Daphnia pulex: one gene and its partners. The protein of the gene in region 1 purifies or fractionates together with the protein of each later gene. This does not show direct contact. Links are inferred from orthologs where the notes say so. Each region holds a gene or a part of one and is shown in the gene's direction. Other genes may lie near its edges.

Region 1 (3,907 bases):
TAAATCCGAACAGTTATAAGAAGGAGCAAGCAGCATTAACCGCTGAATAATTATTTTGCAATTTGACACTTGTGTGTGACACCTGGTCTAAGGAACGCGTAGCGAGACGCACTTTGTAATTGTTTTGTTCCGTTCATGGAATGGATTTGTTTGACTGTTCATTTTAATGACGCTGTTATGTTAACAAAGTCAAATGTTGCCTGGCGCCATGCTGTCTCCGATTTAAATCTATTTTCACTCTTCTACCAGTTAAAAAAGTAGTTTCATTTTGCAATCATTTGTAGGGAAATTTTGTGAGATACGCATCCCTTCGTTTAAAAAAAACAAAAAAATATTTTTTTCCATTCACTTTAAGATCCGTTGCTAATGACAATTTAAAGACATGCAGTAATCATGATAATTTGTCAATCTGTTTCACTTCTAAAGCCGCCTGTACACACGACAAGACTAGTGTTGACCATGTTACACTCCTGTGTTTCGCGCGATGCTCCAACGTGAATGCAGATTTGTTTTGCCACTGAATTCCTTTTTGTAATCTTACCATTCGTTATGCATGCGTGTTAAATCAGAGGGTAAATAAAGAGTTTTATTATCACAGTGGACAAAAGGTGGTTGACCTCTTATAAATAACAATTGCTTCAAGAAACTTGCTACGCCAGACTGCATGTGTACGCCAGCCTTTACTGTCTTTCAGTTGGAACGGCTGTGGGTCGCAGTATCGAATTTTGTTTTTCTCATCCGGACCTACAAGAATCACACAGTCGCCTGTGAAGCTATCAAGGTATGCTTCAAAGGCTTTCGAGTCGTTGAAATAACAAAATAGAAGAGCAAATTTAGAATTTAGTTCCGGTAATGTAGTTGGTTCAATGCAGCTGATTCCACTTAAAAATTTGGGTGGGCTGTACCTACTTTCCCACCAACCTTGGTCTATTTCATAGCCTATTACCGGCAAACCTGTACAATATATATGTGGTAATTTTGTTGTTGTATAAGGAAAACATCAAAAGGGAATTGGCGTTCTTTCTCACCTGTTGAAGATTTTATGAGCCATTCAAACAGACCACTGCCACAACCAATACTAGATACACCTTGTACTCCAAGTTCCGATAGATTCTTGTGTAAAAAATTTAAACCATCAGAGTCCGGCTGAAACCAGAGAATTTTTTCGTCAGTAAAACCATTTTCGTACAGTTGAACTATTCCTCGCCAGTCACCTGTACAGTTGTTGGAAAAAGTATTCAAACACACGGGTCTTCAAAAATTAAAAGATTGAAAATACTAACCGTTTTCATGTAGTTCTCTGATGTTACCTGCGGAACCTTCCATGAGCGCCCTGGAACCTTTCAAGCTATATGTTTAAACGTGAAGGAACAAATGAAGGCTGGTATCTCAAATATAAATGCTTGATATCCCGGTCCTGGCGACCCGTTTCTGTCTTTCTATCTATAGTCACTATTTCGGTTGGCAAGAAAGTCCAACAGCTTGGCTGTTGGCTTGAAGACAAGTTTATCCTGTCACATTTTTTCTCACAATCCATTTTTATATCTCATTCATGTCTCATGTGTATCTCATTCTTTACGAATCTAGATTTTACAGGCCTACAGTTTAACTTGGAATTTATTCTGACCTTGAATAGGTTAAAGTTTATTTTTATTTCGTCGATAAACGGTTAAGTTTTTATCGATCCGCGTCCGACGCGAGAAAAATGATAAATAAAAAAATTTGGTTCTTGTATTTAATTTCAAAAAATCAAACCGGCAACGCAGTACAAAATGGCAGACGACATTTCTTGTATCGTCATTGTAAAATTGTGCGCAGTAAGAGAGAGGACACGTGGGATACTGTTCTTGACAGTTACGGGCGTTTCTCAGTTATTTTAAATTTCAGTAGAAAGATCTCGATCAGACAATTCGAAAATGAGTGACCCTATTAACGAAGAAGAAGTAATTCCCGAGGGGGGAATAGTTAACGCATGGAAAATGAAGCTACCTGAGTTCAAACAAGAGCACAATCCTCATGGCCTTTTAGAAGAAAGTTCATTTGCAACACTATTTCCAAAATACAGAGAAGTCTATCTCAGAGAATGTTGGCCTCTTGTTAAGAAAGCCCTTGGCGAATACAATATAAAAGCTGAACTCGATGTAATTGAAGGTAGTATGACTGTGAAGACCAGCAGAAAAACATGGGATCCCTACATCATTTTGAAGGCTCGTGATATGGTAAAGTTACTTGCAAGAAGTGTTCCATATGAACAAGCAGTCAAAATCCTGAATGATGATGTTGCTTGTGATATTATCAAAATCGGAACCCAGACCCAGAATAAAGACCGTTTTGTTAAAAGAAGACAAAGATTGATTGGACCAAATGGATCTACTCTTAAAGCTTTGGAATTACTGACAAATTGCTATATCCTTGTTCAGGTATTAATTTAAAACATTTAAATATTGAAAGAAATTGTGTGATGTTGGATTTTAATTTTAGGGAAATACAGTCTCAGCTGTTGGACCATATCGGGGATTGCAGCAAGTTCGAAGAGTGGTGGAAGACACAATGGAAAACGTTCATCCTATTTATCACATCAAGGCCCTTATGATAAAAAGGGAACTTGCAAGAGATGAAAAGTTAAAGAATGAATCATGGGAGCGCTTCCTACCTACAATTCCACACAAGAACACGAGCAAGAGAAAGCAACCTGCCAAGAAGCGTGCTAAGAAGGAATATACCCCTTTCCCTCCTGCACCACCAGAAAGCAAGGTGGACAAATTGTTGGCTACTGGCGAGTACTTCTTAAAAGAGGATCAGCGTAAACAACGCAAGAAGAACGAAAATCAAGAAAAGCAAGAGCAAGCTGAAGTACGAAGAAAGGAACGTCGAGAAAGTGCGTTTATTCCCCCTCAAGAACCAAGCACATCGTCTGGAGCTAAGGATTCGACCTCTGACATTAACGTGGAAGAGTTGAAAAACAAAATCCGCAAAGGCCAAGCAAAACGTAAACATGTGTAAAATCCAAACGAAATTCCCAACTGACTGAAATAAAGACGGTAAATAATGGCACTATAAAATTTATTCATAGTTTTAAGTATGTAAAAAGGTAAATTTTCGTAAGGTCTGGCACAAATTTCAAGCTCCATGAATGAAGACGCTGCTCCATCTGCCTATGACTAGAACGTTGTTAATATTAAGCAGGATCATGTGGCGATGGTTGCATTACAGAAAAACGTTCTTAGATTTCTGATTTGCAAATTGTGAAGGGATTTGATTCTTAACGAGTGAAGACGAACTCTTGGGTATCCAGTCTGGGGTGGCATTCTTGCACTGTGATCTCTTGAGCATTTCGTGCATCAAGACATAAATTGGAGAGGCGATGGACAACGGTAACACCACGCAACTGGCCTATTTCCAATTTGTCCCATAGCTGATCGTTGCTAGAGCTGCAGGGCAGTGTAATCACCTGGGCCCCGACGTAAGCTGGAGTTGGAGGAGCCAGACACCATGACCCATGACGTAATCTACCATTAAGGTAAGTCCATGCCTGTGGATACAGATAATTTAGATGTAGGTCAGCCTTAAACATTCACCTTTCTTTTTTTGACTCGTACCTGATTGCCACCAGTCATATGGCATGCATATAGACCAATGTGGCTTCCGGCACCTCGGCCGTATGTGTCGAAACAGAGCGACTTATATTTTATGGCACCTGAGTTTGTTCCACTTGGGTCACGCACTGTAGGCAAATGTTTCAATAGCTCCGGGTAAACATTTTCGACGTACCACTTAAAGGGTTTACAATTCAAACTATTGCGTAGAGCAAGGCGATCGGTGATGCTGAAAACAAACGTTTTTTTAGAGCGCTGTAAACGCAGTAAAATTTAACAAGTTGATTTACTTTCCAAATGTTACAGTTCTA
Region 2 (4,776 bases), on another chromosome or scaffold:
CATCTTTTACAGAAATACATACTACGTACTATGCTTGTTCTTTCTCCTATTTACACGAAATTTTACTTATCTTCCCAGAAATGATGTACGTAGTATATTCTTACGCCCGGAAGGTAGGCCATCACGCAGATATAGTATAAAGAATGAAAAGAATAAGAGATAAAAGCAGAATCGGGTTAGAGCTTGGCCCTTTTTTCTTATTGACACAACACGGAATAAACCTATACACCGGATATCGATCCTGCACAAGTACGGAAAAAGGGAAGCAGCGTCTTACACGCTAGGCTAGACGCAACTGGCTCTGCAATTTACACTTTCAATTTCATCAGGCAAATAGGGGGCAACTGGGAGACAGAAAGGGGAAAAAAAAACACACACAAGCCTTTACACATAGTAGAGTGGCATGTAAACGAAATATACTATTCTCGCGTGTTCTGACCCTATTGAAATCCTTCGAAATTTCGTTGGCGCTGGGACACACCCTGACTGCGAGGTGAGTCGGAATCCTTATCCCCATATATTCGATGATGATGAATCAGATCCCATTATATTAATTAGTCTATCCCATCTGTCTCTTTCCGCCCTGAAAGAGAAAGATAAAACGTTATGATTCGATTGGCCAATATAATTGTACGACTGGTTGGAGTTGGGTTGCTCCAACAACAGCCACCGACCGTCTAACAAAGTTCTCCGTCAAAAGAACAAAGACCGTCGTATACCTTCCCTTATTGAATCACGCATATGCAAGGATTTACATCCACCGCACACGTCTAAAATAATAGCAGCGGGATCGGATTCTCTCGTTTTCGTCTCTTCTTCAACGTCACAGGGCGGTGCGCGGTTAAGATACGCTTCATCTCGATATCATCCGTCATCACGGAATAAGGATGCGCTGCTCTCTATTCATCAAACACGTCGAGTTATCATTAGTTGGGGTTATATATACGCGTATCGTCGAAAGAAGAACCGTTCATTTTGGCAATTCATCATCTATTCGACTACTTTGGGGGATATGACCTCGCGAAAAACCCAACCTATCACTTTCTTTCAACATACTTGCAAAGAACTTTACCTTTTCTGAAAACGAGATATTTAAAAAAGAAAAATCGCCTTTCATCCTTTACCGAATCTGAAGAATTTGTTCGAGAAACTTAATCAACGAAAGAGTTAATCAATACTTTTCTTCACAGTTTACACAGTGTTCCTTACAAAGATCCCGTAACATGATCCTAAAAACATAATACCTCAAAAAACCAAAAACAAAAAAAAAATCGAAATAAAAAAAAAAAACTGAATAACGAATGGCCTTAAGGGTATTCTAAAATAATTAAAAGACATTCAATTCAATACGTAAACTGTCATTCTCAACCATCTACCGTGTACCAGGTGGACCACCTGTGCAACACACATGCGACGCAAGTAAAGACGTTAAAAATTAAAACTGAGGCAATCATCAATCATTTTTTAAGAACGACCATGACAAGAATCAAAGATTTTTTTCTATTTCTTAAATAGAAATAATTTGATATGGCTTTTTGAAAATGTTCGTACAGAATGTACTACAACTTTCAATTTCAAGTAAAAAATCGATTGCAAAAACTGTTCACTGATCGATTCTTAAAGTTAGCAGACGACGACAGATTATTGTGGTATTTCCTACACGTGGTTGTGAGCATTCGAGTTGCGACTTATTTAGTGGCTAGCAATTAATTTCAAAATAAAACTTCTAAAATTAATAGCTTGACATGGCTACTCTCTTTGATGAGGCAAGCTCGGATGAAGAGGGGAATTTGAAAATCAATTCAAACTACGCCGAAAAATACAACCATTGGCGCGAGAAAGAAGAATATCAAAAATGTCAGTCAACTTCATAAGAGACTTTAATGTTTTAATTTACCTAACCAAATTAAAAATTTGCAGTGAAAGATAAATATGGAGAAAATAGCGCCATGAAAATGTTGGTTACAGGAGATGCAGACAGTTCAAGTACTTCAGAAACTGAAGATGAGGATGGAGAAGTGATTTGTTTTGATTTTCTTTCATCACATAAAATTCAATTTATAATTATTTTATTCAACAGGCCTGGGATTCAGAAGTAGAGAAGCAGTTTTTTCAAACTTTGGCGTCACTGAAGAAGAAAGATCCCAGCATTTATAATGCAGAAAAAAAATTCTTTGACAAAGCTGCTCAATCTGCACTTCCGAAGAAGTCAACAAAAGAAGAAGCTTTCACTCTGAGGGATTATGAAAGAAAAATCATGGTTGAAAAAGGTGGAAAAATGAGTGATGACGAGGATGCTCCTCCACCTCCACGAACTTTCCAACAGGAGCAAGAGGAACTGAAAATAGGCTTCAAGGCTGCCCTACAAGATTCTGATTCGGAGAGTGAGGACCTTCTCACAGTTCGCCCCAAAAGTGAAATCCAAAAGGTAATAGATGTCACCAAACCTATGGTACTAGTTGTAATTAACACCATTTGATCACTAAAGGAAAAAGAAGAAGAAGAATACAAAGAATGGCTGAAAGGTAGAAAAGAAGATATCACCAATGAAGAGACAAAAAAACAACTGGAGCCTCTTAAAGAATATTGGTCAAACCCCAAGTTGGATGAAAACGAAGCATTTTTAAAAGATTTTTTCCTCAACAAAAGGTAAAAAGTACTCAACCATTTTGTTCCAAACAGTATTCTTATAATATTTCAAATTTAAAGGTACAAGTGTTCAGAAGACAAGAACTACATTCCTACGTACGAGGAAGTTGTTCACGAATCAGAGGCCGATCTGAGTGAAGACGAAAAGGCTTTAGAGCAACAGATGGAATTCGAACACAAGTATAATTTCCGATTTGAAGAACCTGACCCCGAGTTTGTGAGTTCTTGCTATCTTTCTTTTTAATTACCAAAATCAAATAATTAATTGTATGTTATTTCAACAGATCAAAAGATATCCCCGAACTATTGCCGATTCAATGAGAAAACCTGACACAAGCCGAAAAGCTAAGAGAGATGAAGTGAAGGATCGCAAAAAACGCGAAAAAGAAGAAAAAAAGGAAGATCTCAAAATGCTAAAAAAGTACAAACTGAAAGAAATCCAAGAGAAGCTTGAACAGCTTAAGAATATCACTGGCAATGCATCACTCCCTTTTCAAGTATGAGGACATTTTACCCAAACAAAATCCATTGTAATTACTATTTCGCATTTTAGGACGACGATCTCGAAGGTGACTTTGATCCTGATCAATACGATAGGAAAATGGGCGAGATTTTTAATCAAGATTATTACCATGTCGACAATGAAAATCAAAAGCCAGAATTTCCTTACGACCCTGAAATCGATGATGGTATTACAACAATTGAGTTGAATAACAATCAGCACGATTTCATCATTTCGTTTTAAATTATAGAAAATTGGGATGACTATAAAGGTCAAGAAGCAGGCCCTTCTACCAGCAATGATCACTATAACGATAACGACTATGACGGGCCACACTGCGAGGATCCAGATTTTAATGTAGATTACATTGGAAGGGATAACTTGAAAAGTCAGCACATTTAATTTTTCTTTTGGCATGGGGAAATTTCAGATGGACTGCGATTATGAGGAGGCTAGAGAAGAATCTAAAAAGGAAATGATCGAGATGACGCGACGTAACAGAGGTCGGAAAAAATCAATTTTCGCCCAAAAGCTGGAAACGAAGAAACCAGTGTTTGATCCTGAACAGTAAGTTTGATCCAAGTCAAATTAATGTCATGCTATCTTTCTTTCTAATAAATATTTCTTTGCTTCTAGGCACCCAAACTATGAAGAATATTTAGAAGAATATTACAAACTGGACTACGAGGATATAATCGGTGACCAACCTGTTCGATTCAAATACAGGACAGTTGTCGAAAATGATTTTGGTTTGGATGTAGAAGAGGTATTCAAAAAAAAACTTGTGCAACATTCAGTTATAACGAATTAATTTACAATTTAGATCCTCGTTGCAAGAGAAAAAGAACTTAATCAGTGGTGTTCTGTGAAAAAAATGTCACAGTACAGAACTGAAAGAGAAGAAATGAATGACTATTATACATACATCACGAAAAAGAAAAACGTTTCTTTAAAGAAACGAGTTCTACCTTCGGTTTTCGCCGAGTAAGTTGAAGTTTCTCGTTTAGTTTTGAACAATTGAAATGATTTCTAAAAACGCATTGCGATTCTTTAGAAATTCAGAGGCATTAATGGTAGCCGATCAAGAAAAAGATCGAAAAAAGCGGAGAAGGAATCAAGGCAAAGACGAAGATCCTGAATCCCAACCCATTCCGTAAGTTAAAATGATTTTAGAATACGTTTTTTGTTGAGCCCTTTTAATAAAAATAATTATAATAATGATTCACACAGATATCCTGAAATTGATCATCAAGAAATCCAAGAGGAAACAGTGCCAAAGAAAAAGAAGAGGAAAAACAAGGGAAAAGATGAACCGTTTACCCAAGTGAATGATTTTTCTCAGATAACTGAACCAAATCATTCCAAGTAAGTACACATTTTCACTTGAAACTGAGAGCTCTTCTTCAATAGCTCTTTTTTCTTTTCACGTAGGAAAACTAATGAAGTCGCACACAAGAGGAGGAAAGACAATACCGACGATGCTGGAAATGTTTCAGTGGCTTCAGAACATGAACAGCCCAAACCAAAGAAGTTAAAAGCTGAAAAACCTCAAGTGGAAAATGAAATTCCTTTAGCTACCGAACTGGTCAAAGGCAACGAGAATCCTGAAAAAAAGAAGAAGAAAA
Region 3 (4,850 bases), on another chromosome or scaffold:
CAGAACCAACAGTCTGCGCAAACTAATCAACAACAGTAAACAAGAGTGACTTGTAACTATATTGCGCAATAATCTGGGCTCTAATTCACTTTGGGGGTTTTCTGAAAGACGAACAGGTGTATCATCATTTTCAAACACGATGGTGAATAAAGAAAAAAAGCTTAAAGTAAACTAACAAGGTAACGACGTAACGGTTTATGATTTTATGGCACGACATAAATCTCCGAAGAAAAGTTGTAAAACTAGAAACAAGTGTAAGTTTTGAGTAGAAAGTGCTTTTAAAATTTGACTAAATTCAACACATGCAAAATAGCTCTCGTAGTAGGGAAATCGAATGAGTTCGTGCGTAATGATTTGAGAGCCTCGGGATAGCGGAGACGGGAAGATTCAGGAAGCGAAATGTAGGTAACTGCCTCTGGGTTCAAAATACTTTTGACCGCATTTTCATTAATATCATCTTATTCAATCAGAAATTCGTAGACAACTAATTCAGAAACCTGTTCTGAAGGTATCGTGCAAATTTCCTAGATGCTAAAATATATGGAAAGAAAAAGTAAAAATGTAACATACCTGTTTTAACACAGTTTTCTGGTCGTCGTTGAGCTGGTCGACATTCATCTCGTGAAAAAGTAGCAACACTGGTGTGGAAGAACTCGTGTATCTAATCTGCCAGGCGTTTCTATTAACACTTCCTGTTTTTTTTTCAGATCTGGAAATGAATAACAGACCTATTGTTTAGTTTGCAAAACTGTTATTTCCTACCAATGTTTTGGACACGAGACTTGTGCAAAATGCAATAACTGAGACGTAAGTTCAACGAACTTGTATGTCACGATCCAAAGATTAACTCGAGAAAATAACAACGTGCGAGACTGTTGGCACTTTACAATGTAGTGTGAAGGCCGAACCTGATATGTTACAATATCAAGGACAATCGTCAGACACGTCGTGAATGAAGACGAACGTACTACGAACTGTTTCTTTTCTACTGAAGAGAGGCTGAAGTAAGAAAACACCTGTATGGCCTGGCCAACAGCAGCCAGCTTGTCCTAATAACAGGTATAGGTGAGCCCGGAGGGCTACGACCAAATTCTTGGGTAAAACTAGTGTTCGTTCACCCCTTAAGAAACTCTAGGGGGGAGCGTGGTAGAGCTGTTGGATAACAATTCTTGTTTGGTACAAATAGGTATTCTGTTATTTTTACTTACATCAAAGGAAACAAAGTGTCTAGACGACCTCATCAGCTTTAAGATTCTTGTTGAGTCATGATGACACTCACAGATGGTGAACCCCCAAACAGGTTGATAAATTAAACACAATCTGTGCGATTTTTCCTTGCGATTACCGTGAAAAGTGGATCACTAGATCACTAGATCAGAGCAAAATCAGAGACTACATCAATGTAAGAATGAAATAATCAAGGTTGCCAGAAACTTGATTGAAAATAATTGACATACAATTTGCGAAATTGGTACGTTGCCACTGGCGTCTAGTTGCTGTCACTGGCACATTTTATCAAATTTTATATTCAGCTTAATTTAAAAAGTATTACGACACACAAATAAATATTGAGGGATGGTCAAGTAGGTCGACAGTTTTTTTATTCAGGTCGATCACGCTCACCGTTAAGATCTAAAAACAAAAAAAAAGGATAAAATAATTTGTAATTTTCAACTTAAAACTTCGTAAAAGGACTTTTCTATAAAGCGAATGTTTAATCAAAAATGCGATTAATTAAAATAATAATGGCAAAAAAAAATGGAAAATCCACTCCCCCTCTAAAATAATTCCGTGCGCGCAAATCTTGCAAAAAGCTGAAAATAGAAGACTGGCAACAGCACATTTTGAAAATGGCGGCCCCGTCAACACGAAAACGTGAGTCCAAACAAAATCAACGAGAAATATTTGATAGCATTAAACTTCAAACTAAAGAAGTCATCCAAAGCCGTAAAAACATCAATAACATCATCGACATCCAATCCAATCTAGAGGTATTTTGTTTTTAAAAATGTCAATAACACGTGATTGAAACAATGCAACATTTCCACGTTGGATCTCTTAGAGTGATGAGAGTGCCGTAGTCAAAGCCAGTATCAAAGCTTTGGATAAAATTTTTTGCCATTTCATTGCAAATGGTTCTCTGTCTGAGCAAGGCCCAGTATTGGAAACAGATGCAGATAAAAAAGTCAGAGAATGGAGCAGAGAGAGATATCAAGAATTTCAAGATCGGCTCTTCAAACTTATTGCTGCAGAGCAAATCAGTCTTCAAGAACTTTCTCTTGTTCATCTCATGCATCTTTTTCAAGCAGAAGGTCAGCATCCCCTTCCCAAATTGCCTGAAGGAAGGGAGCATATGTTTCCTCATGAGTTCCTAGAGGTATGTTTGAGAAAACAATTGTAACAATTAAAAACTTGTTTACATTAATTCTTTTCTAATTACAGAAGCTAATGTTGCACATGCTCAGTCTTGAAAAGGAAGCTACTCCATTACTCACTCGCTTTCAGGAATTCATGGAGTATGAGGACATTTTGTTTCATCTTCTTCGTGTCTTAGCGAAAATACTGAAAGGCAAAAGCAATGTTGATGAAAAATTTCTCAAGAACCTCATTCATATTTTGGAACACATTACATTGCACAATACTCCTCCCAAGGAGGAAGAAAAAACCAAACTTTTTTGTTCCAGTAACATCAGACAAATTTCATTATTTTAATACTGAATGATAAAAATTTTCTTACCTAGATAAAAACCATTTCAAGTGGAATTACGGACGAGCCAAACAGTTCTTCAGTATCATTTGGCAGCAACTGTTAAAACATCCTCTGACTCCCAGTCTGTACAAACGAGTGCTTGTAATTCTGCCGGAAAAAGTTCTTCCGCATTTAGATAAACCTTTGTTACTCACAGATTTTCTAATGGAGTCGTACCGAATTGGTGAGAATGGAAATTTCAGTTAAATGCTTGGTGGTTGACTATACATGTTTCGATTTTATAGGCGGAGCTGTAAGCATTCTTGCTCTTCACGGAGTCTTCCTACTGATGCAAAGCCATAACTTAGAATATCCTGACTTTTACACCAAATTGTACGCCCTCTTAGAACCAGGAGTGCTTTTCGTCAAATATCGCGCGCGATTTTTTTACCTTTTGGATTTGTTTATGACATCAACGTAATATTATTTACTTCCTGTTTGTGTGGTTCGTTTGATTAACATTGATTCAACTTTAGACATATTCCAGAATATATAGCTGCAGCCTTCGCAAAGCGCTTGTCCCGATTGGCGCTGATTGCTCCAGCGAACATCGTAATACTACTTCTACACTTTGTAGGCAACTTGATGATTAGACATCGTGGACTTGTACGATTAATGCATCGTCCAGAAGATCAAAAAGGTATTAATTTTTGTAATTTCACGTATTCCGCTTGGTATTTACGTCGAATTATTTTGAAAACATAGACATAACTGATGACCCATACATAATGAGTGAAACGGATTTGAATGCTTGCAAAGCAACTGAAAGTTCTTTATGGGAAATTAAAACCTTGCAGTCTCACGTATTGCCAGAGATAGCAAATACAGCTAAATTTATTGATCGAGACCTGCCGAAACTTGAATGGGATGTTAACCAAGATTTGGAAACTACTTTGGAAGATGTGAGTGTTCAATAACGATTATTCTAATACCGTTATCTTATGCAAGTATTTTGAATCTTTCTGCAGCTGTTGGAGAAAGAGTTAAAGCGTAAATACCCCACAGACGATATTCCGATCAACTTCGAAAAACCAACCAAGTTTGCCTGTGTGAAACACGAAAAGCTTTCAGCTTATTTTGAATTGTGAAATGTCTCTTTAACATTGGAATAAAAATAATTTCCGTCACAATTTGTCTTTGTCCAATAAATCTACAATTTGGATGGCCTAGTCTGGGTTTTACGTGGTTTTCGTAACACCAATAGATTTTCGATTGACCTATTTATGTTACTCACGAAAACCTTTATTCAGTACGGTCAGAAAGTAGTTGTGCGTGTCAGTTGGGAAAGTAAGTTAAGCTCCAACGGTTCAGATTGGTTTGGGACGCATCACAGTTAAGCTACTTGGAAACCCAAACCGTGAGATAATAATGGTTAGTCCTTAGTGTGAATATGTTAGAGTAGGGTCAGGATGTCATCATCTGGACATTGGAGCGCAAGGAAATGGAATTCGTGTACGAACTAGTAAGTGAACACTGAATGTCGTAAATTCTTAACAATTAAACCACAAAAACTAATAGAAAAAGGGTTGCCCTAGGTGAGGCTCGAACTCACAACCACGGCATAGCATAGAGTACTGTCATATAAGTACCGTGCGCTAACCAATTGCGCCACTAGGGCCTAGATACGAAGAGCAAACTAACGTACAGTACCGTGAAATTCTTTTCCGGACAGATTTACTTTCACTTCAGCATTCCAGTGTTGAACGGCTAAGTGAAAGGTTAGACATAAACAAAGACACTACAGTCAACTTAAGAAAACAGTGGATTAAGATTGTATGCTGCCTAGACTGCCTGTGTGTGGGTGTCTCAAAATCTCCAATATGATACCCGTTTTACTTAAACACTACGTCGTTGGGTATTAAAACAAAACATGTTGTTTAGTAAAACTAAAATAAAATTTTGCATAGAAAAGATCCCATTAAGAAAAATGTGAAAGCAGATTTTGTAGCCGTAGGCACATTTCCTTTCTGTCATTTCACGTCGTCTGCACTCTATGGTTTGTTTGTATCTGTCATCGGTCGAAGTGGTGAGCTCCCGATCGACTGTCCAATGGATTGTCACACAAGCGCAAGAAATTAAAAATTATGGAAGGCGAAGTTAG
Region 4 (4,981 bases), on another chromosome or scaffold:
GGAGAATGGCAAGTCGCCGAAAAAGTTCTTTTTCGCTTTCGGCTTTCTCATCCCCTGTCTGACCATCATCGTCTCCTACACGTGCATCTTCGTCAAAGTCAAACAGTCCAGACGCAACGTCATGGCCCACAGGTAAATCAATAAATTGCCCATTTAAATTTTGGCGGGAAATTAAAAAAAAATGGGTTTCATTTGAATTTCAGCCCCGGAACGAGTGGTGGCAACAACAGAGCGGAAGAGCATCAGGCCAATGTTCCGGTGATGAAATCGGTGAATAAAAAGCCGGGCAAGAAGAGCACGTCGGAGAAGCACCAGAGACGGGATGACCTGCGACTCACCCGTATGATGCTTATCATCTTTTGCTGCTTCCTCCTCTGCTTCCTGCCGCTCATGGTGGTCAACGTGGCCGACGACGAGGTTCGTGTGAACAAAAATTATCATTGTGATTGGGATGATTTGATTTGATTTTTAATTTCTTAATTCCATAGAAAAAGACAAAAGTGCCAGTCATTCACGTGATGGCCTCCATCCTGGCCTGGGCGTCCAGTGTCATCAACCCGTTCATCTACGCGTTTTCCAACCGGCAGTACCGATCGGCCTACCGCCAGCTCCTCTGCGGATCTTCGCGCTCGGCCCGGCTGACCTCGCAGACTCAAACGTCGCGCTCTTCCGGCCGCACTTTCCTCACCGACATGCTCCATTACACGGCTCACGCCGAAAAGGTCAAAGTCATCCGATCCACCACCAACACGACGACCAACAATGCCAACCACAAAGAAGATGGCGATCAGCAGCTGGCCAGGGCTTGAAATGAACGAATAAAATGCGCAATCTAGACATTTCCGCCATTTTAAAAATTAATTAAATTGGCCAGGGAAAATCACAAAATTTGAACCCAGTGTACATATGCGTTGTTCTCTCTTTCATTTGTTTAGATGTAGAACAGAATGGGAATTTTTTCTTTTTTAAAATATTTCTGCGCGATTTTTTGCTATCGACTTTTGTTTGTTTTTTAAATCCAATGCGGAAATTTTTGAATTTTTTTTTTGTTTGGTGGGAAAAATTGCCGAAATGTCATTGAGATGTCGCATGAAATTATTACCATGTCTTTTATACTACATGTATTCTCCTGGCAGAGAAAGAAGCCGCCGACGGGCGAGAGAACTTCATTTACATTTTTAGCACATCATATCGAAAAGCAGACAACAAAAAGAAAAGAAAAAAAGAAATATGAAAGATAGAAAAATTTTCAAAAAAGACAAGTTTGTGTGTGTGTGTTTTTTTTTAAATATTTCTTGTGTCTTGTACGCACGGTTCCTCGTAAATGATGTTGTATACACATTTCATGTAACTTCACGACTCGGAAATTTTTAAATTTCTTTTATAACTGTGTGTGTTCGTATACAAGTGCATGTATACTATATTGGTTGATTTTTTTTTAAAGAAAGAAGGAGAAAAATATTATCGAACCCGCCTATATAATCCTTATAGGGATGGAGAGGATTCAAAGTGGTTTTTTTTGTGTGTTGGTTGGTCGGTCAATGACACGCAGAGTTAAAAAAAAAAGAAGAGGATGTGATTTGTGTTCCGATAAGTAATAAGCTGTTACCAAAGGGATAGGCTGAGCTAGTCAAACAGGTTTTTTCTTTAGTCATTCTGCCACTGGGCATTTTACGTCGATAGGCGACATGGAATGATAATTTTTTTTTTTTACTATGTGAATTTTTTACCGCTAGATGGCAGCACGTTTTAACTTTGGAATTTGTTCCTAGATGTCAGCTCAAATAGCAGACGTTTTCTTGAGAGACTTTTCACGACAACACGTGTGAAAAGAAGTACGAAAAGTTGTACGCTTTAAAGTTTATGACAAATTTTGTTTTTTTATAAAAGTAGTTTGCATTTGATCTGTTTACGTTACAGATATTGAAGCTACTGATTCTGAGTGGTAGGTCGTATATTTATTTTCAGTATTTTCGTGTTTTGAATAGCAATGTTTTCAAATGTTAAAAACAGGTTTAAGCATCGTACTTCCTCAAAATGGCTAGGACTGTCCGTAAGACCGATCCGGTCAAAAAGGCCGGACGAAAAGATGGATTTAACCGATCCGGACACAGGTTTGTTATTTGTCACTAATATACTAAATGTTTGCTAATAAAATCTTCTGATGCAGTATGAACCCAGATCGAAAAATTTCTGGTCTGAGGGGAGTGAGCAAGGCAAGAGATAAGGCCACAATCAAACGATTGCAGATGTACCGTAACTTTAAGGCCAAGCGTGATGAATCAGGCAAAGTCATCCGCCCAGCACCTTTTCAATCCAAATTTGCATCTGGTACTGTTGCACGTGTGGAACCTAACCGGCGCTGGTTTGGAAATGTCAGAGTGGTATGTGATCGTAATTACTACTTCACCATTTCTTTGATAGTGATCAAATATCTTAATCTACGTGACTATATTTAGGTTGGCCAATCAGCACTCCAGAAATTCCAAGAAGAACTTGGACAGGCCATCAAGGATCCCTATCAAGTAGTAATGCGTCAGACAAAGCTGCCCATCACTCTGCTGAAGGAATCCTCTAAATTCGCAAGAGTTCACTTGCTGGAAACTGAAAGCTTTGAAAACACTTTTGGCCCCAAGAAACAGCGAAAGCGGCCGAGCCTTGCCACCGGTGACTTGGACAGCTACGTATCCTCAGCCCAAAAATTCGGTGACGGTTACGAAATCGAAAAGGACGGAGCTTTGGTTCGTGATCTGCCAGACGATCGCGAACTGACTCGAGAGTGGATCATGAAGGCTGGCCTCAGCAAACGAATCTGGGGAGAATTGTACAAAGTGATTGACTGCTCGGACGTCATTATCCAGGTATTGAATTATACCAAATCATTTATTTGAGTTCAATTGTACTAAATGTTTAATTTGAAAAGGTTTTGGACGCCCGTGATCCTTTGGGAACTCGATGCAAGCAAGTCGAAGCTTATATCCGTAAAGAAAAAAGCCACAAGCAATTGTTTTTCGTGCTCAACAAGGTAAGCAAAGTCATTCCCAAGATAATTTAGACCCCTGGCCTCATTCCATGCTTCTTTCTAGGTGGATTTGGTACCAACTTGGATTACCCAACGTTGGGTCAAGACGCTCAGCTCCGAGTACCCCACCATGGCCTTCCGTTCTTCGATGACCCATCCCTTTGGTAAAGGTTCGTTGATCAATTTGCTGCGCCAGTTCGGCAAGCTTCACAGCGACAAGAAACAAATCAGCGTGGGTTTCATCGGCTACCCGAATGTTGGAAAATCGTCCGTCATCAATACCCTGCGCAGCAAGAAAGTCTGCAAGGTGGCGCCCATCGCCGGTGAGACCAAAGTCTGGCAGTACATCACGCTGATGCGTCGAATCTTCCTCATCGACTGCCCGGGAGTTGTATTTCCCACCGGAGAGACGGACGAGGAAAAAGTGTTGAAGGTAAACCGATCGCAATTTGATTTACCTGATTGCAAATTCTAATACGATTGCTCTATTCTTTCAGGGTGTCGTTCAAGTGGAAAAGCTGAAAACGCCCGAAGACTTTATTCCAGCTGTGCTGGAACGGGTGAAGAAAGAGTATTTGAGCCGCGTCTACAGGTTGAACGACTGGAAAGATGCCACCGACTTTCTCGACCAGATGGCCCGCCGAACGGGCAGGCTGCTAAAGGGTGGAGAACCGGACAACAACGCCGTGGCCCGAATGGTCTTGAACGATTGGCAGCGAGGCAAATTGCCTTTCTTCGTCGCCCCTGTCAATCCGGATGCGGCCAAAGTGGAGGAGAAAACCGAAGGAGATGCCACAGCCGCCGCTGTTGAAGAGTCGGGAGAGGAGACTGAAAAGGACAAGAAGAAATTCGAGCCCAGATTGGCCCAGGATTTCAGTAAAATTCGGGTGGATCTGAAATACGAAGGTGACGACGTCCAGCCTTTGGAGGCCCAGCCGGACTTCATGGACGACCCTTCGGCCGACGAAGCGGAAGACGATGAAGACGCAGAGGAGAATGTGGCCACCGACAAAGCGACGGAAGAGTCGAAATCGGCTGATGTGTCCAAAGGGGAAGACCACGAAGGTCTCGACGACGAGGAAGACGATTACGAGGATGAGATGGACGAAGAAGAAGAGGAAGATAGCGACGTGGATGCGGCGGCCAAGAAGAAACAAGCCAAGACCCTGAAACTCAAAGCGAGAACCATCACCAAGAGCGGGGCCTTTTCCGTGACGCCCACGTCGCGATCGACCAAGAAAGGAGGCGGCGGTGACGAGGACGACCGACCGGAAAACCCGCGCTGGAAGCTGACTTCGAGAGAGAGGAGAAAGATCGATCGCGATCAGAAAAAGAAGAAGATCGGCACTCACTTTTACGAAGTGGTCAACGTCAAAAACAAGTCGAAGAAGAAGGGTTTCTTGGAGATGGCCAAGGCCTTTAGGGGTCACTGTAAGAAGTAGTGTGGGAGTTGCTTTTGTGATTGTCTAATCTTCTTTATGAGCTGATTATAACGATTGATTGATTCTAATTGCCACCACGGGCCGATACACACATTCTCGATTCTTCTCTTTCTCGCCGATTGATTCAGTTATTTTGAACATCTTTTATGTAAGTGGGGTCTGAAATAAAACGATGAAAATAGATGGGTATTTATTCGTAAACTTATTTTTCCAAGTTGAAATTATCGTGTTATGCGTTTCTTTTTTTAAAAACTTGTTTTATTAGCAGGTGTGGTTTAAACGAGGCTTTCTTTGATCAAATTTTAAAAGGAGAAACTATTATACTAAGTTCGTTGGAAGGCTAATTTCCTGAACCAGACCACAAAACAAATAGCATTTTGAGTTTTCTGGATAGATGTTGTATAAGCCTCGATAGCGCAGTAGGCAGCGCGCGAGTCTCATAATCTCGAGGTCGTGAGTTCGAACCTCACTCGGGGCAGTATTTTACGACCATTGTATCGTCAAAGTTGGATTCTGT
Region 5 (4,842 bases), on another chromosome or scaffold:
TTGTCTACGAAAATTGTCGTCTTCTTTGAACTATTTGTTATTGATCTAATAATGCAGTTACTGATTGCACTGGATGATAACCTAGTAATATACATCGATTACAAATTTCCGTTACCGCTATTTATTCATCTTCGAGTCGTTCGTTCTTTTTCAGGGGCCATCAATGTAAAACAAAAAAATATGTTTTAAGTAAATTGCCATTAGAAATACTAAACTAGACAAACTTCTTTTTACAACTATTAACTGACTGTTAGGCCTACAAAAAAATTAAAAAAATAGGCTAGTATAATGTGTGTGGAAGGGAGAACTAGAAAAACTTTTGTGGCTCTTGAGACAAATAAATTTTTTAAATGTCATTAGTTGTAATTTATCAAGCCAGTTACATAAAAAAAGACTACGGCGAACGAAGAATCTGACGAGATCTTAACGGATAGGTGATGGAACTGGTGCCATTCCTGGATGAGGACTGCCTCCTGACATGGCAGCACCAGGGCCCAACAATATCTTTTAAATTTCAGTAATATCAATATCAATTGGATAAGAGTATAAATTGTGTTTTTCACAAATATACCTGTCGTTGCTGTTGTTTCTGCATTTCTTCCATTTGTGCCCTTTCAACTTCAAATATAATTGGAGCAAAGAGGATTGCAGATGTGCTGAATATAACCCATGAAGCAGAACGAGCAAAGGAATAAAAACCTTAATAAGAAAAAAATGTTAAAAGGCTGTAGTTAACAGACAAACATAATTAACAAATAAACCATGTAGATCAATTTTTTCATTAATTGGTGTACACACCTTTAGCAGATGAAAATGTACCATAAAAGAGTTTAGCAGTTGCAACTTGTAAACATGTTGGAAACATTTCTGTCAGACCAACCAATCTTTCGAGTACTGTTTCATCAAAATCCTGAAATAAAAACATAACAGTGAATGATGATTTTTACATTACAGAACTGTTCTTATTTACATCATCATCTTCGTCGTCTGAGTCTGCTTCGTCTAATGCTTTTGATGACGACAAGGCAACGACAGAGGCATCAGCCGATTCAGAGTTTGGTCGTTCAGGGGCACGTGCCGGACTAGACGCGTTTTCTTTGGGTTCTTCTTCTTCATCGTTGATACTATTAATAATCTCGACACTGAGATCGTCAATTTCTTCTATAGTTGCCATTCTTACAAATTCAACAAATTCTTACACGTTTTTGTATTACACTACTTGATTTTGGCAATGGAAATGTTTCCAGATTACACCGCTGACCAACTGTATCAGTGTATCACGGAAGAGACGACATTATCGTCTGCTAAGTATTAATGACAGAGAAGCCTGAGGCACCGGGCAACCGGCTGTAGCCTGATAATGAGAAAATAATTTTTATGACAACTATCTACAATAAAAAATAAATTATTGTGATTTTTTGTAGATACGTGAGTTTCTAAAAATTAACATATTTACTTTTAAGATAGTATACAGATTTGTATATGATGGCAACGCCACGAAGCTAAAATCGTCTGCACAATTCATGTTGGTTGTGGGTTCGTCAAGCTGACACGTGTTTTTTAAGTCAAATTATTGTTGTCAGTTCAGCACTTGTGCTTTTTATTCCATCATGATGAAGGTAAAACTTGTTATTTAATTTTTCACTGCATTTTTGTGTAAGCATGTTTCTCAATTATATAGGAAGAATCTAAGAGCAATCAAAACAATGATGAAAACAAAAATGAAAACACGGAAGAAAACATAGAAGAAACCAAGGATGAACCATTTGAAATCACACCTGATATGATTATTTGGAAAGCAATGTATCTTCCAGATCCAATAGTCAGAGCTGTCTGGGAGCTTGGATTCCAAACCCCAACAGCAATCCAGGTATGCTAGAGAAAAGATTTTGTTTGTATGATCTACACATGCAATTTCTTGATTGGTCTCATTCTCTAGCTTGCCTGCTTACCAACAGCAATGAAGGGAAGAAAAGACATTGTTGGAGCTGCAGAAACAGGGTCAGGAAAAACCCTTGCTTTTGGGATTCCCATACTGAATGGCATCCTTAAAGATAAAGAATTTGAACTGAAAAAGCTGAAACAGAATGAAGAAGAATCTGAAGATTCTGATGATGCAGATGATTCAGATGAAAATAATGATGATGGCCATACAAGCAACAAAAAGCAGCGAGTTGAAAAAAAAGCAGTTGTTGCTGAAGAAGATTCTGACGACTCTGGAGGACAGATGGAGGATTTTGGAGGTGGAATTGGGAGAGTGAGAGTATTTGATGTAGTTGAGTTAGGGAATCAAAAAACCAAAATAATTAAAGGACAGAAAAAATTACGAGCATTGATAATTACTCCCACTCGAGAACTGGCAGTTCAAATTGAAAAACATTTAAAGGCCGTTGCAAAGTACACAGACATATCCATTTGTCTCGTGATTGGTGGAATGGCAGCGCCTAAACAAGAAAGAATTTTAAGCAAAGGGCCAGACATTGTAATCGGAACTCCTGGTCGACTCTGGGAAATGATTGAAGGCGGAAATTCGCATCTTTCTCAAATTAAAGATATTCGGTTAGTTAATCAACATTTTATTTACTCTTCATTTAATAATTATTTGATGTTGTCGGTTTTAGATACCTTGCACTGGACGAGACCGATAGGCTTTTGGAGAAAGGTCATTTTGCCGAAGTCCGTACTCTGCTTGAACACATTAACAAAGACGAAGAAAAAAAGCGATGGAGACAAAATTTCGTTTTCTCCGCTACACTTACTCTGGCACATGACTTACCTAACCGATTGGGTAATCTCAAATCGAAGAAGAAGAAAGAAGCTATGAAACTTGACAAGTTGCTTAGTTTGGTTGGCGTCAGACCCAAAGCAAAAGTAGTTGATTTAACAACTCAAGTAAGATCGCTGAAACCCGCATCGCTTTCGGAAATGAAGTTGTACTCGGCCACCGTTGAAGACAAGGATTATTATCTCTATTATTTCTTGCGACACAATCCGGGTCGTACTTTAGTGTTTTGCAATTCAATCAACAACGTGCGCCGTCTCACATCTGTATTCACTTTGCTGGAAACTAACCCTCTTCCATTGCACGCGCAAATGCATCAGAAACAAAGACTCAAACATCTTGAGCGTTTTTCAAGTCTAGATAACGCGTTGCTGATAGCCACTGATGTAGCTGCCAGAGGACTTGATATCCCACATGTTCAACATGTAGTCCACTTCCAGGTAAATTTGTATTCCGATATCTTCAAAGGCTAATGTATTTAAAAATCATTTATTCGCCCACTAGGTCCCTCGAACATCTGAAAATTATGTCCATCGTAGCGGTCGTACAGCTCGAGCTTCTCGTGAAGGATTAAGTTTAATCCTGATTGAACCTGAAGAAGCGACAACATATCGTAAACTTTGCTCCACCTTGAAGAAAGACAAGAATGATCTACCCGACTACGACGTTGACATGCGAATTTTTGCCGCCATCAAACAACGAGTAAATTTAGCCAAGGCAATAGAATCATTGGAACATCGAACCAAACGAGAGAGGTCAGACAAGAGCTGGATGAAGCAAATGGCAGAAGAAGCAGATTTAGTAATTAGTGAAAGTGATCAGGATTCCGACAGTGGTAGTGCTGCTCAGAGCCATTCTCAGCTTTTAACAGAGTTGAAGAATAAACGCAAAGAGCTCACGAAACTTCTTGCACGACCATTTAAACGTTCAGTCAAGTAATACTAATGACAGTCGTGTACCAATGCTTTCCAATGTTCGAAATTGACAAAATAAAAAACAATAAGAAAATCTTGTGAATATATATTTAGCAGAAGAGCACCCTGTACAAAGAAAAATGCACTGTGCAATGTGTCAAGTCATAATCCCAAAGTCCTTAAAAGCTGTGTGTAGTGGCCAACCGGTAAGTAACCAGTACGGCACTCAAAACAGTGTATGGAAAGCGCTTGAAACCAAACTCAAGTTACCTTGATGTGACTGTGACTTCAGCACGTTTCAATCTGGTTTACAAAACTCAACGCAAAATGTTATTTACCTAAGCAGTCGTCACTCATGCAGCGACGGCCACCTCACTGTATGGGGGGAAATCAATTATATTGTACTTGTCCACGGCTTTGAAGGAAGGGTAGAGTCCAGATTGCTTGGTCCGCTCATTTGTACCCTTGGAGTAGCCGTCCCAGTGATTACCGGCTATCCCTAAAACATCACCTACTTCTACAGAAATCTCGCCAGGCCTATGGGCTTTGTGCGAGTACATAGCTATTTGTTGATGAGGACCTTGTCCACCGTAGTAGTAAATATCATCCAAAGACTTGAATTTGCTTGATGCATCAGGGTGAAGTGTTTGCATGATCTCGTACGCCAACCGACACACTTGAGACGAGAAAGTGCAAACGAGATGATCGCTGTGTGCAAGCATGTGAATATCGACCAAGATGCCTCGCAAGGACGAATCTGTGTAACGCGTTGCTACAGCCGCTCCTTTGGCTATCGACACATCACCAAGAAATTCATACTCCGGATATCTGTCGGGGGAAAATAAACCAGACAAAAGATCATTTAAGAAAATAAACTTAAAAAAGGGCATTACAAAAAGGGAGCTTACTTTTTCTTTGCTTCTGGAAGAACAGAAGGATCATCGGAAGCCAGGTAGACCCGTCTTACTTTGATTTGTTCTTTAATTTCTAGTTTATCAAAAAAATCTGCTACGTATAACATGTACTCGTCAATCGAATGAAATGCAGCCTCTGTTCCAACTTTATCAGTCCGCCGCACGTGGACACTGCAATAAAGTTTTTTTTTTTTTTTTTAAATCTTGACTGAAGTTATTGATCAAGCAGCTT
Region 6 (4,784 bases), about 2.7 Mb from region 1:
TTTGCTTGGCTTATTTCCCGATTGCCATTTGCCAGTAATGGAATTCATTCGGAAATTCAAATTTGATCGGCAAACTAAAAGTCGTTTTTTTTGTTTTGTTTTTTAAATAGATTTAGAAGGCGGTTATCATCAGTTCCAATTGGATCTTCATCATTCAACTGGGTGCAATCTATATAGTGATTCTGGATCTATGCTATCGCGGTTTTATAACTTGTCGTTGGACCCTATAAAACCACGCCTGTTCTTTTGTTTTTCTTTTCCCTCGGAACTGCCTGGGAACTGCATTGAAGTTTTACCGATTTCCGGCTTTGCCCAATCCATTTGCCATCAACCCTCATATAAAAACGTGTATTTCCCTATCGCTAGCGGGCTATCCACCTACTATTCTGGCTACTATTCTCTTGTTGTGAGAGCTTATAACAATACGTGAGGGACACAGTAGATCGTCGACATTTTCACACAGTTCCCGGAGTTGCATCCCCTTGCTGTTTGTGAAATTCAATTAGAATAAGGCTAGCTTTCTAATGATTATATGCTGCTGGAATTCAAAGTCTGCGGTCTTGATCTTCTCGAAAAGACAAGCTTCTTTTAATAGGCTCTATGTATGATATAGTACCGTCCGGCGTTTGTTCATAATTGATGAACACAAGTTCAACATCTTGTATTATCAGCTCAGCGTCAGTATAAAATGGCCCGAGCCATCATGTTGGCAGGGCACGAGTTTTAGATTGCCTGAGTGTTCTTATAAATAGTTAAATGCACACCGAGTGACCATGTAACGCAAAGGGCTTCCTCTATGGCCCGTAATGCTTTAGCCTTCTTTCTTCTCTTTCTTGGAGAACCTAATCTCTTTCTTAGGTGTCAGCCAAGAGATTGTCTACGACGGGATACGGACGTACAGTCTTAAAGACCCATCAAGTTAAAATATCTCGATTGATTGGACAGATTTGGAAAATATAAATTTAGCCCAAGCGTAGTACCAATTGTCCAAAATAGAAAATATAACGACTGATCGAACGACGCCTCTTTTAACGACCGAAAATACCACAGGAAAATGTCGATCGAAAGCGGATTGAATGGTTGGCTTCACTTTACCTTTATTGCACATTTTTTAGTCTGGGGGGGGGGGGGAGGACGGTTAATTTTTAACTGAATGTGTGGGCGTGATTGCCTTCATTCCCGGAACAAAGAAACATTTGAAGTGTATAAGAACTACTTAAAGTTATTGTACATTTTCTTATTTAAGAAGAGTAACATATAACATATTTTATTATTAGTTTCTTATGAGTTAAAATGTCTCATGTAATAAACAAACTTAAGAACGTGACACAAGAATCCCACGTTAGGATTAGGTCTCTCCTAGCACATGTCACGTGACCGTCTCTCTTGCGGGATTTGTAAATCGAACTTGAAACAATCTTGAATTATTATTATTTTCTACTGCGGGCATTACATGATTACAAAAATATTGCGTTTGCCAGATAACAATTTTTTCCACTTTTCTTAAGTATCGATATAGAAAAATATCGGAAATCAAAAACTACAAAATTTGTATTTTATCAAAGTTATTGGTTTATTTTTTTAAATCAAAGATTTTACTTGAATTAATTTTGAATGAAATTATTTTGAATGTAACATGACATTTATAAATTAAAATCTAAAAAGTAACATCCGATTCAGAACAACGCTGAACAGTGAACACTATCGAGTATCGATTCTGTCGCAGAGTCGTCTGCATAAACGTCTAGAAAGCTGTGCACGTGTTTCTTTGCTTCTTTCAAAATGTCTATGCCCGATCCTCAACTAAAACGCAAACTCAAGAAACGAGAACAGAGTCGACTAAGAGTTCTAAACAAGAAAAACGAGGGTAATAGCAATCTAATTTGTTGAGTTGTATATTTTCTTTTACTAATTTGTTGATTTTTGCAATAGACGCATCCGACGAAGACGAACATGAAGTCGCAACAAAAGAAGAGAATGTTGATGAAACTGAACGTAAGGTTAAACCTGACAGTTTAAAAGAAATCATGATTACTAATTTACTCAATACTTTTAGTGCCAGTGAAGAAACTGAAAACAAATTCTAAAAAAGCTGTGAAGCAAACACAACTGGTTACTTCAGATAATGAGAAAGTAGTAGATGAAGATGATGAGGATATTGATGCTGAAGATTTACAACAATGTAAGTTACTCTAGTTGGTGAAATGAGGATATTGTTATTTGATTTTTGTTTTCTTATTTATCTTGAAAATCAAATGATTTATTTCTTAGTACCTGGATCATCAATCAACGTTGGAATTCTTAGTGACCAGACATTTGCTTCGTTGGAAGGCAGTGTCTCAGATTTGACTTTGAAAGCTGTTGAAGAGATGGGCTTCAAAAAAATGACAGAAATCCAGGTAACATAAAAAGGAAACTTTTAATAATAATAGTAATTATTTAAAAAATATGATGAATATGTATTCAGGCAAAATCCATTCCTCATTTACTGGAGGGACGTGATTTGTTAGGACAAGCCAAAACTGGTTCTGGTAAAACATTGGCTTTTCTGATACCCGCGATTGAGCTGATATATAAATTGAAGTTTATGCCGCGAAATGGTATTTATTTTGTATTCTATTCAATAATAACTGTATTTAACCACTTGTTTGCTATGAAAGGTACTGGAGTTATTATTATTTCTCCCACAAGAGAGTTGTCCATGCAAACTTTTGGAGTTTTACGTGAACTGTTAAGGTGAGTTCATGCATTTTTGAAACATAAATTGGGGTTTTACAATATCTTTTGTCTTCATCTAGACACCATTCCCATACATATGGTCTGGTTATGGGAGGTGCAAATCGTCAAGCTGAAGCTGCAAAGCTTGTAAAGGGTGTTAATATTTTAGTGGCAACTCCTGGAAGATTGCTCGATCACTTGAATAGCACGACTGATTTTCTATTTAAAAATCTCCAATGTCTCATTATCGATGAAGCAGATCGTGTATTGGATATCGGATTTGAAGAAGAATTAAAACAGCTCATTCGTATTTTACCTAGTAAGTCTAAGCTTTAATTGCCATTGTTTTAATCAATTATTCACGCTACGACTTTTGCCAGAAAAACGACAGACAATGCTGTTTTCCGCTACATCAACTCAGAAAATTGAGGATCTTGCTCGCTTGGCCCTCAAGAAGGAGCCAATTATTGTTGGAGTAGAGGATGTCGTTGAGAAAGCCACGGTTGAGGGACTGGAACAAGGTTATTTCTATATTAGCATTTTCGTCATTAAATTCAGCGTTTAAATCTTTGGTATTCTTAAGGTTATGTCGTGTGCCCTGCCGAAAAGCGTTTTCTCATGCTCTTTTCTTTTCTTAAACGTAATCGCAAGAAGAAAATCATGGTCTTCTTTAGTTCGTGCTTGTCCGTCAAATTTCACCATGAATTGCTAAACTACATCGATATGCCTGTCATGTGCATTCACGTAAGATTCAGTTGGGTTTTACATCTCGTTTCGTACTAATCTTTTTTATTTATGAAATAGGGTAAACAAAAGCAAACTAAGCGAACGACAACATTTTTCCAATTTTGTAATGCGGATTCTGGAATCCTTCTCTGTACGGACGTGGCAGCAAGAGGATTGGATATCCCAGCGGTCGATTGGATCGTCCAGTATGATCCTCCAGATGATCCTAAGGTAACTCAATCTAATAGAAATACTTGAAAAATTGTCACTATAGCAATTCGTTTTAGGAATACATTCATCGTGTCGGGCGTACTGCTCGCGGCCAAGGCGGCAAGGGCCACGCCTTGCTTCTTTTGAGGCCAGAAGAATTAGGTTTCTTACGGTATTTGAAGCAAGCCAAAGTTCCACTTAACGAATTTGAGTTTTCCTGGAGCAAAATTGCTGATATTCAACCTCAGGTTCGGAGAAAAATATTTACGGTTATGTTATTTCTATTAATTTCACTAACAAACTTTTTGTTATTTATTCAGCTGGAAAAACTGGTTTCCAAGAATTATTTCCTCCATATGTCAGCAAAAGAAGCTTACAAAGCCTACATTCGTGCTTATGATTCTCATCATTTGAAAACAATCTTCGACGTTCATACACTCGACCTGGCTAGAGTGGCCCAAAGTTTTGGTTTCAAAGTTCCACCGACAGTAGACCTTAGTATGTTTAATCTTATCTGTTGGCCTTGACATTTCAGATTTCACAAAATTTGACTCATACATTTTACTTTGTAGACATGCGTAGTACTAAAGCTGACCGCCCTCGCAAACGCCAAGGGAACTTCGGGGAGACCCATGGAGGAACTAAGCACCGTACAAAAGCAAGCACATATCGTCAAGTTGGACAGAAACCAAGCGACAAACGGCAATTTTCTCGATAATTTTTCTGACTGTTTTATACGTTGTCCACAGACAATAAATTTGCGTATCCAATATTTTCGTTCAAGCTTTATTTCTCTAAATATTGTAATGGTAATTTTCCTTAAGAGATGGCGGGCGGAATTCGTCGCTCATTTGTTTGAGATGGAAATAAAAATAGTTATTTTTCTGAAGGGTATCGTAGAATTAACCATTAATGAATATTGTCAATAGATCGTGAGATGATATTGATAATAGACTCCTAGAATAAATCACTTCAGTAATCAAAACACTTTCAACTGGTTTTAGTAATCTGAATTTACCCACAAATAACTATGTCTACCATTTCAAGAATTCCTAAAAAAGTGCTCACTCTTAAGCAGGTAATTCCATATTTATAGCATTAACATATCACATTGCAGAGCTTCTGATAAA

Evidence for each region.
Region 2: the proteins of KRR1 small subunit processome component homolog (region 1) and protein KRI1 homolog purify together in Homo sapiens (affinity purification with mass spectrometry; 3 studies listed by BioGRID and IntAct, with this or other methods). This does not show direct contact. The link is inferred for Daphnia pulex from reciprocal best matches to the Homo sapiens genes KRR1 and KRI1.
Region 3: the proteins of KRR1 small subunit processome component homolog (region 1) and nucleolar complex protein 4 homolog B-like purify together in Homo sapiens (co-immunoprecipitation; 3 studies listed by BioGRID and IntAct, with this or other methods). This does not show direct contact. The link is inferred for Daphnia pulex from reciprocal best matches to the Homo sapiens genes KRR1 and NOC4L.
Region 4: the proteins of KRR1 small subunit processome component homolog (region 1) and nucleolar GTP-binding protein 2-like purify together in Homo sapiens (affinity purification with mass spectrometry; 3 studies listed by BioGRID and IntAct, with this or other methods). This does not show direct contact. The link is inferred for Daphnia pulex from reciprocal best matches to the Homo sapiens genes KRR1 and GNL2.
Region 5: the proteins of KRR1 small subunit processome component homolog (region 1) and ATP-dependent RNA helicase DDX24-like purify together in Homo sapiens (affinity purification with mass spectrometry; 3 studies listed by BioGRID and IntAct, with this or other methods). This does not show direct contact. The link is inferred for Daphnia pulex from reciprocal best matches to the Homo sapiens genes KRR1 and DDX24.
Region 6: the proteins of KRR1 small subunit processome component homolog (region 1) and ATP-dependent RNA helicase DDX18-like purify together in Homo sapiens (affinity purification with mass spectrometry; 3 studies listed by BioGRID and IntAct, with this or other methods). This does not show direct contact. The link is inferred for Daphnia pulex from reciprocal best matches to the Homo sapiens genes KRR1 and DDX18.

The regions. Positions count from the first base shown.
Region 1 is NC_060023.1:9,551,685-9,555,591, forward strand, and holds KRR1 small subunit processome component homolog, read left to right. Parts: upstream 1-1,772; 5' UTR 1,773-1,916; coding exon 1,917-2,420; intron 2,421-2,481; coding exon 2,482-3,003; 3' UTR 3,004-3,051; downstream 3,052-3,907. Other genes in the region: uncharacterized protein LOC124198094, read right to left, coding at 593-954, 1,029-1,214, 1,284-1,326; polypeptide N-acetylgalactosaminyltransferase 2-like, read right to left, coding at 3,263-3,532, 3,600-3,825, 3,887-3,907. UniProt on the Homo sapiens protein: Part of the small subunit (SSU) processome, first precursor of the small eukaryotic ribosomal subunit.
Region 2 is NC_060018.1:4,442,224-4,446,999, forward strand, and holds the start of protein KRI1 homolog, read left to right. Parts: upstream 1-1,634; 5' UTR 1,635-1,745; coding exon 1,746-1,857; intron 1,858-1,920; coding exon 1,921-2,018; intron 2,019-2,080; coding exon 2,081-2,428; intron 2,429-2,488; coding exon 2,489-2,649; intron 2,650-2,709; coding exon 2,710-2,866; intron 2,867-2,933; coding exon 2,934-3,146; intron 3,147-3,202; coding exon 3,203-3,338; intron 3,339-3,401; coding exon 3,402-3,508; intron 3,509-3,581; coding exon 3,582-3,718; intron 3,719-3,787; coding exon 3,788-3,917; intron 3,918-3,974; coding exon 3,975-4,135; intron 4,136-4,205; coding exon 4,206-4,304; intron 4,305-4,381; coding exon 4,382-4,516; intron 4,517-4,582; coding exon 4,583-4,776.
Region 3 is NC_060027.1:896,626-901,475, reverse strand, and holds nucleolar complex protein 4 homolog B-like, read left to right. Parts: upstream 1-1,821; 5' UTR 1,822-1,850; coding exon 1,851-1,991; intron 1,992-2,062; coding exon 2,063-2,377; intron 2,378-2,442; coding exon 2,443-2,683; intron 2,684-2,741; coding exon 2,742-2,933; intron 2,934-2,994; coding exon 2,995-3,166; intron 3,167-3,225; coding exon 3,226-3,389; intron 3,390-3,454; coding exon 3,455-3,651; intron 3,652-3,717; coding exon 3,718-3,837; 3' UTR 3,838-3,879; downstream 3,880-4,850. Other genes in the region: SEC14-like protein 2, read right to left, coding at 571-618; solute carrier family 15 member 4-like, read left to right, coding at 4,834-4,850.
Region 4 is NC_060028.1:1,711,364-1,716,344, reverse strand, and holds nucleolar GTP-binding protein 2-like, read left to right. Parts: upstream 1-1,794; 5' UTR 1,795-1,945; intron 1,946-2,013; 5' UTR 2,014-2,037; coding exon 2,038-2,114; intron 2,115-2,170; coding exon 2,171-2,384; intron 2,385-2,459; coding exon 2,460-2,861; intron 2,862-2,923; coding exon 2,924-3,025; intron 3,026-3,086; coding exon 3,087-3,455; intron 3,456-3,519; coding exon 3,520-4,464; 3' UTR 4,465-4,644; downstream 4,645-4,981. Other genes in the region: protein trapped in endoderm-1-like, read left to right, coding at 1-132, 204-417, 489-809. UniProt on the Homo sapiens protein: GTPase that associates with pre-60S ribosomal subunits in the nucleolus and is required for their nuclear export and maturation.
Region 5 is NC_060027.1:4,484,431-4,489,272, forward strand, and holds ATP-dependent RNA helicase DDX24-like, read left to right. Parts: upstream 1-1,466; 5' UTR 1,467-1,610; coding exon 1,611-1,619; intron 1,620-1,681; coding exon 1,682-1,870; intron 1,871-1,939; coding exon 1,940-2,559; intron 2,560-2,621; coding exon 2,622-3,222; intron 3,223-3,286; coding exon 3,287-3,721; 3' UTR 3,722-3,790; downstream 3,791-4,842. Other genes in the region: mitochondrial import receptor subunit TOM22 homolog, read right to left, coding at 424-504, 572-699, 799-910, 971-1,174; alpha-(1,6)-fucosyltransferase-like, read right to left, coding at 4,050-4,524, 4,605-4,781. UniProt on the Homo sapiens protein: ATP-dependent RNA helicase that plays a role in various aspects of RNA metabolism including pre-mRNA splicing and is thereby involved in different biological processes such as cell cycle regulation or innate immunity.
Region 6 is NC_060023.1:6,843,660-6,848,443, reverse strand, and holds ATP-dependent RNA helicase DDX18-like, read left to right. Parts: upstream 1-1,701; 5' UTR 1,702-1,782; coding exon 1,783-1,867; intron 1,868-1,932; coding exon 1,933-1,995; intron 1,996-2,056; coding exon 2,057-2,182; intron 2,183-2,271; coding exon 2,272-2,399; intron 2,400-2,467; coding exon 2,468-2,600; intron 2,601-2,660; coding exon 2,661-2,736; intron 2,737-2,798; coding exon 2,799-3,037; intron 3,038-3,098; coding exon 3,099-3,239; intron 3,240-3,301; coding exon 3,302-3,462; intron 3,463-3,522; coding exon 3,523-3,675; intron 3,676-3,731; coding exon 3,732-3,902; intron 3,903-3,974; coding exon 3,975-4,152; intron 4,153-4,226; coding exon 4,227-4,372; 3' UTR 4,373-4,426; downstream 4,427-4,784. Other genes in the region: LYR motif-containing protein 2-like, read left to right, coding at 4,685-4,732. UniProt on the Homo sapiens protein: ATP-dependent RNA helicase that plays a role in the regulation of R-loop homeostasis in both endogenous R-loop-prone regions and at sites of DNA damage.